Linked DNA regions of Callithrix jacchus. The protein of the gene in region 2 interacts with the protein of the main gene of each other region in a biochemical or structural test. Links are inferred from orthologs where the notes say so. Each region holds a gene or a part of one and is shown on either strand. Other genes may lie near its edges.

Region 1 (3,510 bases), on a different chromosome or scaffold from region 2:
TTTGTTGTGCAAACCAACTTCATATAGTGCATAAATCAAAAAGTGTAGGCAAAGCATTTTTTTCCCCCATTTTCCCACTATCTTATGAAGGTAAAACAACTAACTTGTGTTCTCCACCTGTTCAGATTTCATCTAGAGGTGAAGGATAATTGGATACAGTCTGAGCAGATGCGGATGAGATCCCTTTCCGCCCCTTACTAGCTGGGCAAGCTTTGCATACCCCGTATACCTCTGGGCCTACCTTTTCTCCTCTTTAAAATCAGGGCAAAACTGCTGCCTACCCAAGGACGTCTGAGGAATTCAACAAAACAGACCCCAGCACAACAAAACCTCAGCAGACGACAGCTCTTATCAGTGGTGGTTCCTCACCCGTCCACGAGCCCCTGCTGTTTAATGATCCTGTGGGATTCCTCCCTGGAGATCCTCCCGTGAAACCAGTGCTGTGTCCTGTGAATCACTGTGGAGGGAACAGACAAGGACCGGGTGGATGGCGGTGCCTCCACAGCATGGCTTCCCTGACAGCACAACCAACTCTGATCAACGCAGAGCCCCCGACTCCCCCAGCTACAGCGTGTGTGGTACACTCTGTGCACAGGCAAATTCATAAGGCTCAGGGGGAGCGGAGGGGGGTGCTGTTTGATTTTCTTTCTTTCTTTTTTTTTTTTTTTTAAAGATGGGGTTTCACCATGATGGCCAGGCTGGTCTTGAACTCCTGACCTCAGGTGATCCACCCACCTTGGCCTCCCAAAGTGCTAGGATTATAGGCGTGAGCCACCGCGCCCGGCCTGACTTTTTAATGGACAAAAACATCAGGCAATGTGCCCTGTTTACCTGTACTTAGGGTAGAAGGGTGGAGGGGACTTTGGCTACCTAGGATGTTCATCCGTGTGCTTCGCTTCTGCAAAAGAAATTCCATATTAGCACCGAGGACAGCAAACAGACATACCAAGTCACCCAATACATCCAAGCTCAGGACAGGGCACTAGGTAGGGTGCCTGACTGGGCTCACAAGGGCCCTTGCCCCATCTGAAGCCTCCGCTGACCCCTGAGAACAAAGAGCTTACGGTTCCCAGTTGTTAATAACACCCTGAGATATTGCTAGCTGCCCCAGTATCAAAGTAGAGATGCTTATTTCTCACACTGAAGACATATGATGAAAACGCCATGAATATCCTGGTAAATTTCAGGAGAAACACATGATGGAGTCTTACTCTATCGCCCAGGCTGGAGTACAATGGCATGATCTCAGCTCACTGCAACCTCCACCTCCCGGGTTCAAGTGATTTTTCTGCCTCAGCCTCCTGAGTAGCTGGGACTACAGGTGCACACTACCATGCCCAGCTAATTTTTGTATTTTCAGTAGAGATGGGGTTTTACTATATTGGCTAGGCTGGTCTCAAACTCCTGACCTCGTGATCCACCTATCTTGGCTTCCCAAAGTGCTTAGATTATAGGTGTGATCCACCTATCTTGGCTTCCCAAAGTGCTTAGATATAGCCACCACTCCCAACTGAGCCTTTCTACTAAATTCATGCAGTTCTCAAAACACTGGGCTCTGGACTCCCCATGCTTGGGACTTCCTACTTTTCCCATCCCCTGATGGGAATTACAGAAAATGCCAGATTCCAGGCTCCTGTTTTGCACATGGCCTTTAAGTCTCAGGAGCTTGGAAGCTGATATTCTTCCCATCTGGAGATTCAGAACCTGAGCCTCAGAGGTGGGGGTGCAGGCTGTTAATAGCACACCTCGATGTGAACGCCTGCTGGCTCCACTCAGGCCCGGGGCCTGTGCACCCTACAGACAGCCACTGCCAATTCATCAACAGAACAGTTCTGCACGGGAGCCAGGGTGGCAGAGGGCCCTGGTCCTCTCCTGTCCCTTTCACAAAAGCCCACAGGACCAGGGAGCAGTGGGGGAAGGCTGGGTGCTGGGAACGAGGAAGGGGCCTAGAAGGGCCGACTGCTTCCTGCAGCTGAAAACTCAGAGGCCCTTCACCCAACATGCCACCCCTCTTGCCAACCCGCACAGGGCCATTCCTCTGGGAGAAGAGAAGACCACATGGTGAGGCTACCACCTCGAGGGCACCCCCCCCCCGGGTTGGCCAGGGCCAGGACCTTACCCTCCAGGCATGGCCCTCCTCCAGGGCTGCACTCTGGGCCTCCGCCGGATTCTCTATCACGCGTCCTGTTTGCCCAGAAAAGTCCATCGCCACAAGGGAGTTCTCGGAGACACTGCGCTGGAAAGGAAAGGCCACGGGTTCTTTAAACACAGGAAATTAAGGCAAAGCGGAGTCTTGGCTTAATTTCTGACAGTCATCAGGATAGTCAGGAAAGGAAAGCAGGGAATGCCCACTTTCCACCCCTCATCTTCCCAAGTTTCAGGTGGGAAATTCACTGGTTCAGGCTGAAAATTCAGAAACCTCTTTGGTTTTTCTTAAGAAGGATGAGATACATTCTAGTCCTCCCTGAGCATTAAAGGCTGCTGCTGTGCCCCAGGCACGCCCAGGGTTGGACTGTGTGGTCCTTCACTGGCTCCTGACCTTTACTCCAACACAGCAAAGAAACAAACAGCCAACAGCCGGGGTGAGCCTAGGCCTCCCCAAAGTCATTCCCCTGGGGATGGGGGCTCAGGGAAATTCGTGGACTCTTTCTGTGGCACCATTGGGCATCTCACAGGGCAGACACTAAAGGACCCTCAGGACTGTATTTTGAGATGATGAAGTGCTTCTGCCCCTCTGAGAAGCAGAGTGCCCAGAACATAAGAGGAATGATGACAATCTCTCAAGTTTTACCAGGGCATGACTGTAGTGTGATAGTCAGCAGCTCCCAGGGGTCCCAAGGCTTAAGGAACAAAAGCCAGAGGTAGGAAAGGCAGGGCCCCACAAGGACCAAAAGCTCTTGCTGCCTTTTTTGAGCACTTAAAGAGAGCCACCTCCTTACAAAACCCAGAGGGGAGATGCAGGGACGGGAGAAGGATGGCAGAGGGATTCGCTCCTTGAAGTTACACTGTCGAGACTACAAAACCCACATCACTGTGCCATGCACTGGCTTCCCTGAAATGCGCAGACACCCTCCGGAGCTTCTCTTGCCCACCTCGTGTAAAATGAGGCATCCTTAACACGTGATGTAGCAGCTGAAAAGGTACTAGACTTCTGAAGGTCCTAGCTTTACTTACCACTGGCGTTGAGAATGGGGACAGCAAGGCCTTCCTCTGCTGAGGGATTCGGTAGTTCTGGTAAAGGAGCATTCCATACTGGAGGGGAGAAGCCAGAGTCAGTCACCGGCCCAGGAGCCCCGAGGCCTGGCACTTGACAAACGCCACGGGAGGAAAGGGCAAAGTTGAGTGTGGAACAGGGAGCAATGCCCAGACCTAGCCCAGGAGCCTGAGTGCCGCTGACTCTGATCAATGCAGGGGTTAGGGGGAATGACGCCCCTTGAAATAAAAAATCTGAGTAGAGCTCTTGACTCCCACGAAACTTACCTACTAGTAGCCTACTATTGACCAGCCTTA
Region 2 (4,251 bases):
AGCGATGAAGCCAGAAGTTTGGCCTTTTGCAAGAAGAGTGGGCCCAGCTCTGAACAAACTATTTCTTTAATAATGGAAGAACGGTCCAGGCGCCGTGGCTCATGCCTGTAATCCTAGCACTTCGGGAGACCGAGGTGGGCAGATCACAAGGCCAGGGGATTGAGACCGTCCTGGTCAACATGGTGAAATCCGGTCTCTACTAAAAATACAAAAATTAGCTGGGCGTGGTGGTATATGCCTGGTGGTCCCAGCTACTTGAGAGGCTAAGGCGGGAGAATTGCTTGAACCCAGGAGGCGGGGGTTGCAGTGAGCAGAGATCAAGCCGCTGCGCTCCAGCCTGGTCGATAGAGCAAGACTCAAATAAAATAAAAATAAAAATAAAGAGAATGAATGCCTTGGGTCTACGGTTGTGCTGTGTGCATTCTTAAGTTTTCTCCCTCGGGTACCTTCCCAGATCTGGTGTACAGGTATTATCAAACCCATCACTGAAGCAAGACTGGCCCGGACATAGTGAAGTAGCTGGTCCAAGACTACACAGGAGTGAGGGGTGGAGGAACCCTTTTCCCACTGAGTTCTGGCTTTCCTACACTGAAAGCCCCTTCCTCTCCTTCAGTATGGTGGGTGGAACCGCTGTCCCGCCTTGTTCGTGACTGACATTGCTAGACGTTCAGACACACACAGGCTGGTCTGCTGATAATCAGACATGTCCACCCTCTATTCGAGGTCTCCTGCATCGTCTTTCCCCTTTCAGAAGCTTCTGCACATTTTCCCAGGTGTCTTTCTCCAACTTGAACACAGGGAGCGCACTGGACACGCAGGCACGTGGCTGTCCCCAGGGGCCTGACTTGGGTCTTGCCTCTGGGTGGGGGCGCACGCGCGGGAGGGACATCTGGGAGCGTCCACCCGCTCTGGGACGAGTGTGTCTGGCCAGGCCTGGATGAGGGAAAGGCGGTGAGTGAACAACTACTCGCCTGAGGTGCAAAATTTAATCCCCCACAAATACACCACACATACAAAACAAAAAACAAAAACAAACAAAAAACCGAACCCACCTCGAGTCACCAACGTAAATATTTTAATGCAGTATTTTAAAATTATTAACAGAAATCCTCCAAAGCCCCACTCCGAACAAAAGAGCAAAATGGTAGAGAAAGGATTTATGTCGCTGGGTCAGGCCTGTGGGGCGCCTTTGGGGGCGTCTGAGGCTGGAGGAGACTCGGGCGGTGTAGAGCGCGCGGATCTGGGGCGGCCCCTCGGTCCAGGCGCGCCCAGGGCCTCCAGCGAGGGGCCCGGCTCGGGGAGGCGGGGAGGCGGGGCGGGGCCGGGCGCCACCTCCCTCCCCGGCCCCCCGCTTTCCCTCCCTTTCCCGGGCCTCTCCCGGGCGCACAGTCCCTTCCCAGGCCAGATCCGCGCCGCCTTTTCCCTCGGCCCGCAAGGGGCCCAGCTGACGGGTCGCCTTGTTTACGGCCCGAGCAGCCCTCACTCCCGCCGCCCGCCACCAGCCACTCGCCCGCCCAGGTGCCCGCCCGCCCTGCAGCGGGTCCCTCGGTCCGCGAGTCCCTCTGTCCCGGAGCCCGCCGATCGCGACCCAGAGTGCGCGGGGCCGAAAGCCAGGAGACAGTCCCGGGCGCAGCGCAGAGCTCCGGGCCTCGAGATCGTGGGACGGGGCCCGGCCCGCAGCGGCCGGGGGGTCGGGGCAGCTACCGCGGGGCCTCCCAGCTCTCTTTGTAGCGGGCGAGGCCGCGCGCGCGCCCTTCCCGGGGCTGCCTCTAGGACCCCAGATCTCGGGCAGGGGCGCTGCGGCCCGCGGATCGCCCGCGTGGAAGAGAAGGACACGCGGCCCCCAGCGCCTCTCGGGCGGCCGCCTTGCGGCATGACCCCCGCGGGTCCGCACCGCGCGTTCTGATCCGAGGAGACCCTGAGCTCCCCGCAGCCATGGGAGCCGGGAGCCGCCGGGGGGCGGCGGCCGCGCCGCTGCTGGTGGCGGTGGCCGCGCTGCTCTTGGGCGCCGCGGGCCAAATGTACCCTGGAGAGGGTGAGTCTGGGGGCGCAGGAGTGGGCGGGGAGCAAGGCGATGGGGAGAGGACCCCCCCAACCCGAGACAAAAGAGAGCCCTCCTCCCCCCACCCCGCTGGTGGACTGAGACCCCTTCCGAGGACGGGGGGCTGGGGTCGGTGGCTCGGGCGGTCGCTTCTGCTCCGCGTGCGGGGCGGGAAGCCGCTGACCTTGGCCTTTGCCCGCCCGGACTCGTGCCTCCGCGCCCCGCGTGCCCGACCTGAGCCCGAGGAACCTTGCCCCAGTGCCCGCCCCGCCGCGGGCGCCTCTCCGGATCGCCCCTGCGACCAGAGCCCCGGTCTCTCCGAGGCCAAGTCGCTCTGGAGACAACACACGCGTCCTCTCTGGGTGGCGGCTGCGAAGTGGGGTCACTCGGTCTGGGCAGCTCCGGACAGCCCATCCCCGGAGCGCATAAGGTGTAGATGGAGCCAAGTGCCCTGAGTGCCTCACTGGTGGGAGACGCTGCCTGGGGTCGGGGATTGTAGAACCCGCCCCCAGCTCCATCCCGATATCTTGGATCTAGGCCAGTGGCCACCCCGGACTCTAGGTCCATGGTTTCCCTTTTGGGTTCTGTTTCCAGATGTCCCGAGGCACATTCTAAAGCCTTAGAAACAGCAGCAATTGTGGCAGAAGTAGTGGCGTGTTTTTTTTTTTTTTTTTTTTGGCCATGTTTATTGTAATTGGTGTCACCACAGGCCACACGCTGGTCTATCTTATCTCTCTGGACTGTCACAGTGGCCCCGGGAAGCGGTTACAGTTATGCACCCATTTTACAGAGGAGTGAACTGAGGCTCAGGTAAAACGCATAGCTCCCTTGCCCTAAAGTCAGTGCCAGAGCCAGGACCTGAATCTCTCTGCTCCCTGTTCTGCCCAAGAATCTGGACTACTGTCCTTCACCTGCTGTTTCCTTAACGCCTCCTCTCCCCTCAGCTCTGCCCTTCATGAAAGAGCCTTTCATTCCCCCTGACCCCCACCGGCTCTCCCACGTGGGAGCAGCATCTTCCTTGAAGACGCCTTTGCGGTTGTAGAATGAAGATGGAGTAATCATTTAAGAGAATATAGCCTGGGTTTCCCACTGTAGGGTCTGAGACCCTGCTTTAAAAATATTTGTTGTGTCACTGTTGCAGATTTCTCCATAAAAGGAAATCAGTGGTGATGAGGAAGGGGTCGGAGAGGGAAGGAACTGAAGCTCCTTAATGTATTGAGGGAGAACGGGGTAGATGTGAAATCAGAGGTGCTGGAGTGGACCAACCGGGTTTGCGGAGTTGACTCTATCAATTACATAATGTCTAAAAGCCCCACCACCACCACCCCAGGGCCTGGCAGACAGCAGGTGCTCAATGAAGGGTGGCAGTTAGTTTGGGTTCTTGTTAAGAAAATCCAAGAAGAGTGGTTTAGAACTATGCCAGGCCAGGCATGGTGGCTCGTGCCTGTAATCCCAGCACTTTGGGAGACCGAGGCAGGCAGATCATGAGGTCAGGAAATCAAGACCATCCTGGCCTACATGGTGAAATCCTATCTCTACTGAAAATACAAAAATTATCTGGGCATGGTGACGCGCACCTGTAATCCCAGCTACTCTGGAGGCTGAGGCAGGAGAATCAGCCTGGGAGTTGGAGGTTACAGTGAGCCAACATTGCGCCACTACACTCCTGCCTGGGCAACAGAGTCTCCGTCTCAGAAAAAAAAAAAAAAGAACTATGCCAAATTCTGTGTGTGCCTATGTGTGGTTCCTTGCTCTTCTGTTCCTTGCAGCTTTGGTGATGAATTGTGGATCTGTGCCTGCGCTTTCAGGATCAGTAAATGGATTTGCCATTTATTTGCACAGTTATGGCTTCCTTATGGGCAGGGGTTTACGGTTTGCTGTTGTTGTCAGTGTTCACTTCTGCATTTCGAGAGCCCAGAACAGTGCCTGGCACATAGTAGGTGTTTGGCAAATATTTGGAGCCCAGGTGGTGGAATCCCTGGGTGTACTGGGTGCCTTTATTCGTAAGGAGTTCCTCATTCTCTGCTTAATACCTTTCTAAGAATTATAAGAGCAAGGCCTCAGCAGGTGCTGTTCTGTGTGCTTTGCATATATAATCTCAGTTAATCCTCACCACAAAACCCCACGAGGTGCAGTTTAATCGTCTCTTTTCACAAGTGAGAAAACTCCACTTGGGGCCAGCAGGCAGCAGGGCTGGCATTACAATCTAG
Region 3 (4,024 bases), on a different chromosome or scaffold from region 2:
CCTATTTAGTCATGTGTTTGTTTGCTCTCTCTCAGCCACGAAAACAGCAATATATCCCTATTTATTGCTTTATCCTACCTGGCTCATTAACTACTTGTTGAATGAATTAATACTAGGTTAAAATAATTTGAAGTCCGGGCACAGTGTCTCATGCCTATAATCCCAGCACTTTGGGAGGCCAAAGCAGGAGGATCGCTTGAGCACAGGAGTTTGAGACCAGCCTGGCCAACATGGCAAAACCCTGTCTCTACAAAAAAAATACAAAAATTAGCCAGGTGTGGTGGTACACACCTGTAGCCCCACTAATTGGGAAGCTGAGGAGGGAGGGAGCCAAGGAAATCAAGGCTGCAGTGACCACACCACTGCACTCCAGCCTGGGCAGCAGAGTGAGACACTATCTCAAAAAAACCATCATAATAACAATAATAATAAAATAAAATTCTAGGGCTGCGCAGGGTGGCTCATACCTATAATCCCAATACTTCAGGAGGCCAAGGTGAGAGGATCACCTGAACAAAGGAGTTTGAGACTGCCGTGGGCAACACGGCAAGACCCCATCTCTATTCTAACAATTTTAAAATTTTTAAAAAATAAAATTCTAGGAAATGCAAACTAATATATAGTGACAGAAAGCCTAAGAACAAAGGAGGGATTATAAAGAACACGAGGCAAAATCACGAGAGATGGTAGATGTGTTCATTATCTTGACTGTGGTGATGGTTTCCCAAGTGTATATGTATGCCAAAACTGATGAAATTGTACATTTAAATATATGCAATTTATCATATGTCATTTATACCTTATTAAGGCTGCTTAACAAATAAAACAGATTCACAATCCAAAAAAAATAAATCATTCAAAATTATATGTATTATGTTCATAATCTGGCTTTTTGGGTGGTACACAATATCAGGGCTGGAGGGGAGAAGTCATTGCTCCATTTTCAAACTGTCATCTTTACCATTTACTTGCTGCTTTGACTATGCCCACACTTCTCTGCTTCTAAACCAACAAACTGGACAATGTAGGGTCTATTACTCCCCAGACCTTTTCCCAACCCCCAGCCCCCTTTCTTTTTGTCTCCTAAAGCAGCAGATCCTTACTTGTCTGGAAGAGCAGACACCAGGAACAAAAGGCTCAATGACTATTTGACAGATTAAAGAATAGACAACTGTTTTATTTAAAAGCTCCCTAAAGAATTAGAACATTTGAGGCTACACACTGTTCTGTTGAAATGCAGTTATATATTACCCAGATCTGTAAACACTTGCCAACAGACCTGTCCAAGTCACTCACTTCCAACCAGTTCTCAGTTTTCTTTTTTCTCCCCTTTTTAAGCTTCAGATCCATGTATGAATAACATGGCAGGTGTGTTTGGAGGAGGCATTCCTAATATTTTGAAAAGTCTCATTCAAATAGCCCCAATAGCTTGAATCGCTTTTTAAATGTCTATGACAGTGACCATAATTGAACAACCATGGAAAAGAATAGATAATGGGTCTTAAGTGTGGTGGTATATACAGTGACCACACAAAATAACAGGATCATTATCTGAAAACAACAGGTCACACCACTGTTTGACAACAAAATTAAGGCTTACAAATAGTTACAAAATAATAGAAGCAACATACTGATTAAAGGTAGGGATTCTGTCTCCACCACCTACTTGCTGTGAGGCAATTTGCTTAACCTTTGAATCTCGGCCTACTCATCTTTACAATGAGGATAACAGCCATCTGATAGGGCCGCCAGAACTAAGCAAATGTTAGCTATTAGTAGTATATTTACCCTGACCTTTCAAAGGATCTCATTAACTCACTAATCCTCCTTAGTTTCAAATTTTGTCATTTACAGCACGTAACTTCTGGGCCTCGGTTTCCTCATCCATAAAACGGGTACCAGTAAAGTGACCTGACTTTAAGGTTGCAGTGAAGGATTAAATAACGAGAATGTGGCTCCCTTCCTTTTCATCTCCCAAAGCGAAGATCGCAGAGGAAGGAAATACTTCTAGTGGCTGCACATACAGTCAGTTTTTCCATTTCTGGCACGTGAGGGGTAGGAGAAAAAGAAGACACAAAGGGGCATGTAAAAGCCTCAGGGGTCCTGCGTAGTCCCCAAATGCACGCAAGTGGCACAGTGACCCAAAACGGCTAGACCACTGGGGGTCCGGCCCCACGCAACTCCCCTCTCATGTCCCAAGGAGCCTCCCCAAGTGAGCAGTTATTTCGGAATCACCATGAGGCAATTCTCATGAGGCAATGGGTCAGGAATGCGGCGCTGAGCCGGTCCGCCGGCGCCCGTGGTTCCCTCGGCGGCTCTACCTGCCCGGGGCCTGACGGGCATCCCCCGGGCTGCCGCAGCCGGAACTCGGGGAGGCAGGAAATGAATGGGAACCCGAGGGGTCGGGGCGCGGTGGGGTCGGCCTCCGGCCCCGGGAGGGCGAGGGGACGAGGAGGGAACCTGCCCCCAACCCGATCCGGGACGGCAGTCCGAAGCCCGGCCGGGGCGCCCCCTTCCGGACGGGGCTGACAGAGCGCGGCGGGGGCCGGGCCGAGGCCCGAGCCGGGCCCCTCAGGGCTCCTCACCTCCGCGATGTCATGTTCCTCCCGCCCTCCGGCTCCGCGACGGACCCGCTCCTTGCTCAGGCTCCGCTGGGCTCGGTCACATCGGGCTGGCCCGAGGGAGGCCCGCTCGGGACCGGACGCAGGACAGAGCCAGCCGGCCGCGCACAGACCCCCCTCCAGGCCTGGGGATCCCGGAGACTGTGCAGCCGCCCCCCGGCCCGGCTCGCTCCTCCTCCGCCCCCGCCCTTCGCTGCCGTCGCCCCGTGATGTCACCGCTCGCGACGCCCGCCGCCACTTCCTGCTTCCCGTCAGCCGAGAACTGAGCGACGGCCGAGAATGGCAGCGCGGGGTCTCCGCGGAGGCGCCACGCGCAGTGACCAAAGCACCCACGTTTCCTCCTGAAAACCGCGGCCACCGGGTGTGAGCTGTGCGCTCCGCCTCTACGCGGCTTCACCGACCCGGCGCTTTCGGGCCCGCTGCCACATCGATTTCATTCATTTCGTTCCACAAATCGCCGCTCCTCTCATTAGCTGTGGATGGAACCTTAGGGAAATTACTTACTGTCTCCGAGCCTCAGTTTCCTCCATTATTTATTTATGTAAGATAAAGATAGTAGGCCGGGCGCGGTGGCTCAGGCCCACCATCCCAACATTTTGGGAGGCTGCGGCTGGAGGATCGCTTGAGCCCAGGAGTTCGAGGACAGCTTGGGCAACAAAGCGAGGCCTCATCTTTTCTACAAAAAAATAGAAAAAAACTAACCGGGCGTGGAGGCTGCGGCGGGAGGATCACTTGAGCCCGAGAAGTCCGGGCTGTAGTGAGTTGTGATCACACCACTGCACTTCCGCCTGGGCGACAGGGCGAGACCCTGCCTTAAAAAAAAAAAAAAAATACTTTGGGCTGAGCGCTATGGCGCACGCCTGAAATCCCAGAGGCCGGCGAATCACTTGAGCCCAGGAGTTAGTGACCAGCCCGGTAAAAATAGTGAGATCCCATCTCTACAAAAAAAAATACAAAAATTGACTGGGCGTGGTGGCGCGCACCTGTAGTCCCAGCTACTCCGGAGTCTGAGGTGAGGATTACTCGAGCCTGGAAAGTTGAGACTGCAGTGAGCCGAGATCGTGCTACTGCTCAGGCAAGGTATGGTGGCTCACGCCATCCCAGCACTTTGGGAGGCCGAGAAGAATGGATCACTTGAGGTCAGGAGTTCAAGACGAGCCTGGCAAATTTGGTGAAATCCTGTCTCTACTAGAAATAAAAAGATTAGTGGAGATTGGTGGCGCACACCTGTAGACCCAGCTACTCGGAAGGCTGAGGTAGGAGAATTGCTTGACCCGGACAGGCAGAGGTTGCAGTGAGCCCAGATTGCACCACTGCACTCCATCCTGGGCAACAGAGCTAAACTACTTCTCAAAAATAAATAAAGGGCACAGATTTAGTGAATGGCAGAGCCATAAGTTTAA
Region 4 (3,940 bases), on a different chromosome or scaffold from region 2:
GGCTGAGCCATGGTAAAGAAGCGCGACGCCATCCTGGAGGTGCTGGAGAACCTGACCCCGGAGGAGCTCAAGAAGTTCAAGATGAAGCTGGGGACCGTGCCGCTGTGCGAGGGCTTTCAGCGCATCCCGAGGGGAGTGCTCGGGCAGCTGGACATCGTGGACCTCACTGACAAGCTGGTCGCCTTCTACCGCGAGGACCAGGCAACCAAGCTCGTCGTGACCGTGCTGCTTGACATGGGCATGCAGGAGGAGGCGGAGCGGCTGCAGCGGGCCGCGTGAGGGCCACTCCGAGCTGGTGCGTGGTCTCGGGACCCAACTCTGCTTCCTCACCAAGGACCCAGGGATTGGGTCCCGCCCAGAGCCTTCCGGTCTTCCTCCTCCTTCAGGCTCCCTCCTGGGGTCCTCCCTCAGACCTCCAGCCAGCCCCTCCCGGTGGCGAAGGGCCGGCCTGCCGAGAGCCCCAGGGGGGCTGCATCCTGCCCCACAGCCCCTTTCTAGGCTGTTGGGCTGCCTGGGCCCTGTTCTGTTTCACGGGTTCTGTGCTCTCTTCGCAGATAAAGACGGACGAGTTTGGGAGTTCCAGGGCATAAGCACAGGTGAGCTGGGATGGGAAGGCTCCTGGGAGGAGGCTCCTGCCCTGAGCTAGGGGACCACCAGCCAGGACTGAGCAGAACTAGGCCAGGCAGGAGCTGGCGGGACTGAGAGGCTGGGCCCCTGGGAAGTATGGGGGCCTCGAATACCAACGAAAGGATGGTGGTTTACCCCCTCTAGGATACGGGCCAAGGGGAGGAGCAGTGCAACGCTGGTAAAGCCAGCCCCGCGCGCGCACCAGTGGCGGAAAACAATGGCAGAGTCTCAACCTCGGAGACCGAGGACGCCTCCGTGCCTCCAGATCTCGCCTCCTCCAGCCCTATACCTGGCGTTTATTCTTCCACTGCCCAATAAACATTCATGGAAGACTTTCCTGGGGCTGCGCGCGCACGTGTCCGCTAGTAGATACACGCGTGTGCTTTGACACACGTATTACACGCCCTAGCCGGTGTGCACGCGTCTCTATTTGCCTGTGTCTCGGTGTCTCTGCTGGGTATGTCCTGGCGCACACAACTGCGTGGGCTCCCGAGGCTTTCGGGACTTCCAGCTACACCCAGAAAAGCATCCTGGGTGGAGCTCTCGGTGCCCGCTGGGCCCGCGCCCACATGTGCAAAGGCCGGCGTACCTGGCCATCCTGCCTCCCTTCCGGTAAGGCCAGCCTGGAGCCCATCAGGCCTGCCCAAGTTCCGCAGCTTCAGGGGCGCGTGGGCCTCCGCTGAGGACATCAGGACAGCCCCGCCCCGGCCGCCTGGCTCCCTCCCGAACGCCGCTCCTCCCCCAGCGCCGCGCGGGGAGCCAGTCCGACCCGCCCACCGGGTGCAAGAATACCACTTGGGCCGCTGGCCAGTCCTCGCTCCGCCCGGCTCCGCCCCGCCCATCAGACCCGCCCCGGGGATCCGCCCACCCATCTCCCGGTCCCTCGAGGGGTTCAGGCCCGGAAACCTAGGTTTGCTCAGCGCCCTTCTGGCCAGGCTTCGTCCCCGCGCGGCTTTCCTCTACCAGCCCCGCATTCGGCTCCTCAGACCCTCCTTCCAGGCTGCTTCGCCCCGCCCCCGCTTCCCGCAACTGTAGGTGCTCGGTAGCCTCTCTAGCGGCTCAGAATCCAAGTCAGTGCAGCGACCTCCCCGTTGACCAGGCCCGGCGCCACCGAACAACCCCTCCGACCCCGATGAGCGTGGGTCCCGCACCTTGAGGCGCGCGTGGGCCTCCGCGGCGGGCAGGAGGCGGTGGCCGCGGTGCGAGCCGAGTGAGGCGCACACTCCGCACACCAGCGCTCGGTCCTGCTCGCAGTAGATGCTCAGCGGGTCCAGATGCTCCTCGCAGTGGCCCTGCGGCACCTGCCCCAGCCCCTCCACCAGGCGCGCCAGCTGCAGGTTGGTGCTGAGTGCCTGCGGCCGCGTGGGAGCCTGGCAGGAGGGGCAAAGAACGGTGCCATCGGCAGCCGGCTCCCCGGCCACGCGGCCCAGGCAGGCGCGACAAAAACTGTGGCCGCACTCAGCTGTCACGGGAGCGTCGAACAGCTGCAGGCACAGCGGGCAGGACAGCTCCTGATGCAGGAGGCCGGGCGCAGCCGACATGGCGGACCTGGGTGGATGAAAAGTCGGTTAGGGGGACCCCGCGGCGCCGCGCTCCCGGCCCAGCCCCAGCCCCAGCCTAAGGCCGGGCCCCGCCGCCCGGCAGGGAGAAGCACCAGCCTGTAAAGACCGCACATCCTACACTGGATGGGGCTCTGACGGCCCGGGTGAGACGAACTCGGTCTCAGGCCCAAAAGCAGCCTCCATGGCAATTCTCAGTACAGACCCAAAAATATACCCTATCCGTCAACCCCAGTTCCTGAACACAACCCCAGGGTCTAGCCCACTGTCCTTGCCCTCGCCTTAGCCCCAGGCCCCACCCTCTGACCTCAGCCCCTGCCCCAAATTCCCTAGAACCCCCATTCCGAGACTCCCCTCTCCCACTTTACCACGATCCCCAGCCCTCCCCGCCCCCGTCTCTCCAGTCCCCGGGACTCACAGGTCTGGTTGGAGATCTTAGGCCAAAAGAGACTCGAAGAAGGACCGGTCAGGGTCGGGCCTAGCTGGACCGGGGTCAGGGCTGTGTCCAAGGATCTGAGACAGGCAGCAGGCTCCAAGCAAGGACGGGGACTCACAGGGGCAGCTGGCAGTGGATACTCGGCGTGATGGGCACACAGTGCTCAGCGGAAGACCCTCCCAGACTAAGCCAGGCCCCTGGACTATATTTAGCTGCCCTGCCCAATCCCTCCCATCAGTTCTGGAAACCGTTCTAAAAGTAAGGGCTGAGTCGTCCCCGGGCACGTATCACATGCCAGGTCCACCTGTCTTGGCCCATCCACTGTCTGCTCCGCACCAGCCTGGAGCTAGAGCTCAGAGCCAGCAGGGAGACAGGGCCTCTCACACCATGGAAAAAAAACAGAAAATTGAGGGGAGGGTCTCCCCTTTCTCTCCCCACTCCCACCTTTACACTCTCCAGCTCCTTCCTCTTGCCCACAGCCCCTCTCCAGCGTGTGGTCCACTCATTCCCCAAGCTTATGGCTGACCAAGGCCACTCTGGCAGGATTACCCCACTTGCAGGAGGGCAGGACCTCACCCCACCCTGAAATGTTTTCCTCCTCCAGAGCTGAGGGGAGGGTCTTTTCCACATTGGTCTCTCCAGTACACCCAGAACAAGCCCTGGGACAAAGAAGGTCTCTCTAAATGCTTGGAGAATGACTGATAGAGAGATATTGAATAAGTGAATGAACGGAATCCAGCCTGCAGCCCAGAACTCAATTCGGCCCTGGTTCCTGTATGTGTACCTTTCAAATCTCAACTGAAATTTTATTTAAGTGGCGCTGGGATAACTGGCTAGCCACATGCAAGGGAATGAAACTGGACCCTACCTTTTACCACATACAAAAATTAACTCAACTGGCCTGATGAGGTGGCTCACGCCTGCAATCTCAGCACTTTGGGAGGCCAAGGCAGGCAGATCACAAAGTCAGGAGTTTGAGACCAGCTTGACCAAGATGGTGAAACCCCATCTCTACTAAAAATACAAAATTAGCCAGGTGTGGTGGCCCATCTAAAAATAAATAAATAAATAAAAGTTCACAATGCCTGCACACACAGTATCTACAAAAAATACTAAAAAAATTAGCCTAGTGTGGTGGTGCATGCCTGTGAGCTCAGCTATTCAGGAGGCTGACGTGGGAGGATTACCTCAACCTGGGAGGCGAAGGCTGAAGTGGGCTGAGACTGTACACTGCACTCCAGTCTGGGTGACAGAGTGAGACCCTGTCTCAAGAAAATAAATAAAGATAAAAAAGAAAAGTTGAAATTATTAAAAAAAA
Region 5 (3,973 bases), on a different chromosome or scaffold from region 2:
AGGCCAGGTCAGGATGCCTGGAGTGGTGGACCCTCCAGGAACCCCGCCCCACGACAAAGCCCCGCCCCCACGAAGACACGCCCCTAGGAGGCCCCGCCCACGAGGAAGCACCGCCCCACCGACGCCACTCCCTGAAGACCCGCCCTACGGAGGCCCCGCACACGAGGAGGCGGGGCCGCACCCCACCGGCAGCCTCTAGACTAACAGCCGTTCCAGCTCCCTTCGCGTCACGTGCTTCTCCGCTCGGCCCTTGATGGCCGCCAGCAACTCCTCCCGTTACCTGGAAAAGGGGGTGAGGGGAGGTCCGGCCACGGGGACACTCGCCCCACGGATCCCTTTATCTCTTACCAGTCTACCAACGGTCCACGGCTTCCAGCCGCTCTCGGGGGCCCGCGCGCGCTCGTAGCACCTTTCGGTGGCATTCCAGGATGGCAGCCCAGCAAGCCGCTGGGGTCCCCACAGCCCCAGAGCGCGTGGGAGGCCGCCATGTTACGTGGAGGGGAGGGGTCGGCTCTCAGGGGCGGAGCCTCTGCGGAAGGGGCCGGCTGCTGGGGGCGGGACCTCTGCAAACGGAGTCGACCCCCCCCCGAGGGCGGGGCCGGCTGCCAGGGGCGGAACCTCTGCAGACGGGGCTGACTGATGGGGGCGTGGCCGGGTGCTGGGGGCGGGGCCTCCGCCGATGGGGGTGGCTGCGGGGGCGGGGCCTCTGCCGATGGGCCAGGTGCTGGGAGTGGGGGCGGGTGCCGGGGGCGGGACCGCCGCAGATGCGGCCTGTTGTTGGGGGCGGGGCGGGCTGCTGGGGGCGGGACCTCTGCAGATGGGGTCTTTACGGGTTGGGGCAGGGGCGGAATCCCACGTGGGCGGGACAGGCTTTTAGGGAAGCACGCCCTCAGCGAACCAAGGCTGAGGCACCTCACGGAGAAAACCGGATATATGGGACGGCCGCCACCGAGGCCAGTTCTGGAGAGGCCTCGGCGGGGCGGGGCGGGGCTGGCCTCCGCGAATGCCGACCCTGAAAAACGCGGGGCCAGGGAACCGGAGCGTTCCTCGCAGCCAGCTACGTCGCGGGCCGACTGTCCCCGCCCAGGCTGGTTGGGCGCACGCGCGGCCCTACCCGCCCCCCGACGCCTGCGTCCCCGCCGATCCCGCCCCCGGCCGGAAGTTCCGGCGGCGGAGCTGGGCCGGGCCCGAGCTGATCGTGGGCTCGGGCTGCAGGGCTCGGGCTCGGGCTTCGGGTGCAGGGCCGTCAGGCGCGGAGCTTGGGAGCGCAGCCCAGGCCGTGCCGCTCGGCGCCATGAAGGGCAAGGAGGAGAAGGAGGGCGGCGCGCGGCTGGGCGCTGGCGGCGGAAGCCCGGAGAAGAGCCCGAGCGCGCAGGAGCTCAAGGAACAGGGCAACCGTCTGTTTGTGGGCCGAAAGTACCCGGAGGCGGCGGCCTGCTACGGCCGCGCGATCGTGAGTGCGCCCGCGTGGGGAAGGCGGCGACGGCGAGTCGGAGGGCCACGCCCGCGATCGGCCGGCCCCGCCGAGGGTCTGGCTCCTCCGCGGCGGGTATCCTGGGCTCCGAAAGCCCAGCATTGGTTCTCGATCCCAGCGCCAGGTGCCGGGGAACGAGGGTGGGATGCTAGATGGAGGCCGGCCGGGTGGGTGGGAGGCCAGGGTCCAAAGCTGGGACTCTCCAAAGATTTGGAAAACTCTACAGAACCAACCGGAGTGAGGTGTGTAGGCTCAGCCAGTAGTCCCGTGTCTGCAGATCCTTGGACCCAGAGGCTTTGGCTACTGAGAGGTCTAGGTTCTTGATCGTAGCCAGATCGCAGAAGCTGGGACGGGCCCTGGGACAGAGGGGGCGCGCTGAGCCTACGCCTGATGCGGCTGGCCCGGCCTTGGTCCCTAGACCCGGAACCCGCTGGTGGCCGTGTATTATACCAACCGGGCCCTGTGCTACCTGAAGATGCAGCAGCATGAGCAGGCCCTGGCCGACTGCCGGCGCGCCCTGGAGCTGGACGGGCAGTCTGTGAAGGCGCACTTCTTCTTGGGGCAGTGCCAGCTGGAGATGGAGAGCTATGATGAGGCCATCGCCAATTTGCAGCGAGGTTGGCCGACAAGCTGCCTGGGTGCGGGGCCCCTGGGACCAGGCGGTTGGACTGGCCAGCGTGACCGGAAGCCCTTGTTCCCCAGCCTACAGCCTGGCCAAGGAGCAGCGACTGAACTTTGGGGACGACATCCCCAGCGCTCTGCGAATCGCGAAGAAGAAGCGCTGGAACAGCATCGAGGAGCGGCGCATCCACCAGGAGAGTGAGCTGCACTCCTACCTTTCGAGGCTCATTGCGGCGGAGCGTGAGAGGTGGGACCCTTACCCCAGGCCGCGCTGTCTGGGGATAATTCTGAATAACCAACCGCCAACACGAATGTTTACTGAAAGTTTTACTGGCGAGCAGTGCATGTGGGGAAGAAGCCTGGATGTTAGCCCTGAGTCTGGGGTGTGGTCAGACATCTTCTGGCCAGGTCCGTCTCTGACGGGCTCCTGGTCATCCCCCAGGGAGCTGAAAGAGTGCCAGCAGAACCACGAGGGTGACGAGGACGACAGTCACGTCCGGGCCCAGCAGGCCTGCATTGAGGCCAAGCACGTGAGGGTGCCCCCATCCACATGTGGGTCTGTGTGTGTGCACACGTGGCACGGGAGCGTCCCCACCCTGCTGTGGGTCTGTGTGTCCCTGCCTCGTGTTGGGTCTGGGTACCACGGAGGAGGGAAGTGGGGTGTCCCTCCCAAGCACTGCTCAACTTTCCACAGGACAGATACATGGCGGACATGGATGAGCTCTTCTCTCAGGTGGATGAGAAGAGGAAGGTGAGTGCTGCTGTGGGTGGTAGGTCCTGGAGCAGCCCCTTCCCAGCCTCTGACCCTGTGCCCATGTGCCACAGAAGCGCGACATCCCTGACTACCTGTGTGGCAAGATCAGCTTTGAGCTGATGCGGGAGCCGTGCATCACACCCAGTGGCATCACTTACGACCGCAAGGACATCGAGGAGCACCTGCAGGTGAGGCTGGGGCCAGGGGGTGGGCAGGGCCAGCAGCAGGGTCCTAGGCTTGCTGAGCAGCCTCTGCCTCTTGTCACTGCAGCGTGTAGGCCATTTTGACCCTGTGACCCGGAGCCCCCTGACGCAGGAACAGCTCATTCCCAACCTGGCTATGAAGGAGGTCATTGATGCATTCATCTCTGAGAACGGCTGGGTGGAGGACTACTGAGCTCCTCGCCCTGCCCAGTGTCCTGGCCCCGGAGGGCCACGGGCAGAAGCCCCCAGCCCCTGTACATAGCTTGTGTCCCTGGCCACCCTTTCCCTTCCCCCCAGTTCTGCTGTTGGGCTCTGGACGGCTCCCCTCTCAGCATAGCTCTTGCTGGGCTGTGATCCTCCCCGTCCCCCATTCTGGGCTGGAAAAGCAGGTGAGGGTGGGCTGGGCTGCGGCCACCGTCTGTGTAATAAAATCCGTGAGCACAAGCTGGGGAAGAAGTGCTCTGTGTGACAGGAGTGCCTGCCGGCTGCCACGGCTAGCCAAGGAAGGTAGAGATGAAGACGCTGGTGTCAAGGTTGAGTGTGGCGTGCCACCAGCGGTCGGGGAAGTACAGCACCTGGTGAAGGAAGGGGGTGCAGCCGAGATCAGCTGCGGGCCTCTGACCTGGCCCGGTCCCTCCTGCCAGCCACTGACCTCACCAGCCTGGATGGTACACTCCAGGGGCCGTGCAGACGGCGGCAGGGCTGGGTATGTGTCCCGGAGCCAGGCCAGCGTGGTCTTGTTGGGGTGGAACTCTGGCGTCTTCTCAGGTGGGTAGAGGAACCAGCGCTGTGGGCAGGGGCAGCAGCGTCACCCTTGCCCACTTGGGTCATCCACCCAAGCCCCGACACCCACCCTGGGCTGACCTTACGGCCGTAGATCACCTCCGAGTACCCAGGCCCGTGCCAGTGGAAGGGCACCCC

The links.
Region 1: the proteins of INSR (region 2) and GRB10 form a complex in vitro, tested with the Homo sapiens proteins (5 studies listed by BioGRID and IntAct). The link is inferred for Callithrix jacchus from reciprocal best matches to the Homo sapiens genes INSR and GRB10.
Region 3: the proteins of INSR (region 2) and PTPN11 form a complex in vitro, tested with the Homo sapiens proteins (2 studies listed by BioGRID). The link is inferred for Callithrix jacchus from reciprocal best matches to the Homo sapiens genes INSR and PTPN11.
Region 4: the proteins of INSR (region 2) and TRIM72 form a complex in vitro, tested with the Homo sapiens proteins (2 studies listed by BioGRID). The link is inferred for Callithrix jacchus from reciprocal best matches to the Homo sapiens genes INSR and TRIM72.
Region 5: the proteins of INSR (region 2) and STUB1 form a complex in vitro, tested with the Homo sapiens proteins (2 studies listed by BioGRID, with this or other methods). The link is inferred for Callithrix jacchus from reciprocal best matches to the Homo sapiens genes INSR and STUB1.

What each region holds. Positions count from the first base shown.
Region 1 is NC_133512.1:17,936,543-17,940,052, forward strand, and holds part of GRB10 (growth factor receptor-bound protein 10), read right to left. Parts: intron 3,253-3,510; coding exon 3,175-3,252; intron 2,237-3,174; coding exon 2,120-2,236; intron 899-2,119; coding exon 832-898; intron 458-831; coding exon 370-457; intron 1-369.
Region 2 is NC_133523.1:6,881,273-6,885,523, reverse strand, and holds the start of INSR (insulin receptor), read left to right. Parts: upstream 1-1,446; 5' UTR 1,447-1,935; coding exon 1,936-2,035; intron 2,036-4,251. UniProt on the Homo sapiens protein: Receptor tyrosine kinase which mediates the pleiotropic actions of insulin.
Region 3 is NC_133510.1:115,365,481-115,369,504, reverse strand, and holds the start of PTPN11 (tyrosine-protein phosphatase non-receptor type 11), read right to left. Parts: upstream 2,807-4,024; 5' UTR 2,600-2,806; coding exon 2,586-2,599; intron 1-2,585. UniProt on the Homo sapiens protein: Acts downstream of various receptor and cytoplasmic protein tyrosine kinases to participate in the signal transduction from the cell surface to the nucleus. Positively regulates MAPK signal transduction pathway. Dephosphorylates GAB1, ARHGAP35 and EGFR.
Region 4 is NC_133513.1:30,733,522-30,737,461, reverse strand, and holds the start of TRIM72 (tripartite motif-containing protein 72), read right to left. Parts: upstream 2,803-3,940; 5' UTR 2,605-2,802; intron 2,176-2,604; 5' UTR 2,169-2,175; coding exon 1,779-2,168; intron 1,394-1,778; exon of another isoform or gene 1,262-1,393; coding exon of another isoform or gene 1,217-1,261; intron 970-1,216; exon of another isoform or gene 772-969; intron 597-771; exon of another isoform or gene 555-596; intron 296-554; exon of another isoform or gene 280-295; coding exon of another isoform or gene 10-279; exon of another isoform or gene 1-9. Other genes in the region: PYDC1 (pyrin domain-containing protein 1), read left to right, coding at 10-279. UniProt on the Homo sapiens protein: Muscle-specific E3 ubiquitin-protein ligase that plays a central role in cell membrane repair by nucleating the assembly of the repair machinery at injury sites.
Region 5 is NC_133513.1:2,940,415-2,944,387, forward strand, and holds STUB1 (E3 ubiquitin-protein ligase CHIP), read left to right. Parts: upstream 1-1,172; 5' UTR 1,173-1,294; coding exon 1,295-1,453; exon of another isoform or gene 1,454-1,598; intron 1,599-1,892; coding exon 1,893-2,091; intron 2,092-2,176; coding exon 2,177-2,342; intron 2,343-2,409; exon of another isoform or gene 2,410-2,537; coding exon 2,538-2,625; exon of another isoform or gene 2,626-2,789; coding exon 2,790-2,846; exon of another isoform or gene 2,847-2,920; coding exon 2,921-3,037; exon of another isoform or gene 3,038-3,097; coding exon of another isoform or gene 3,098-3,119; coding exon 3,120-3,245; 3' UTR 3,246-3,496; downstream 3,497-3,973. Other genes in the region: JMJD8 (jmjC domain-containing protein 8), read right to left, coding at 3,547-3,627, 3,705-3,839, 3,917-3,973. UniProt on the Homo sapiens protein: E3 ubiquitin-protein ligase which targets misfolded chaperone substrates towards proteasomal degradation.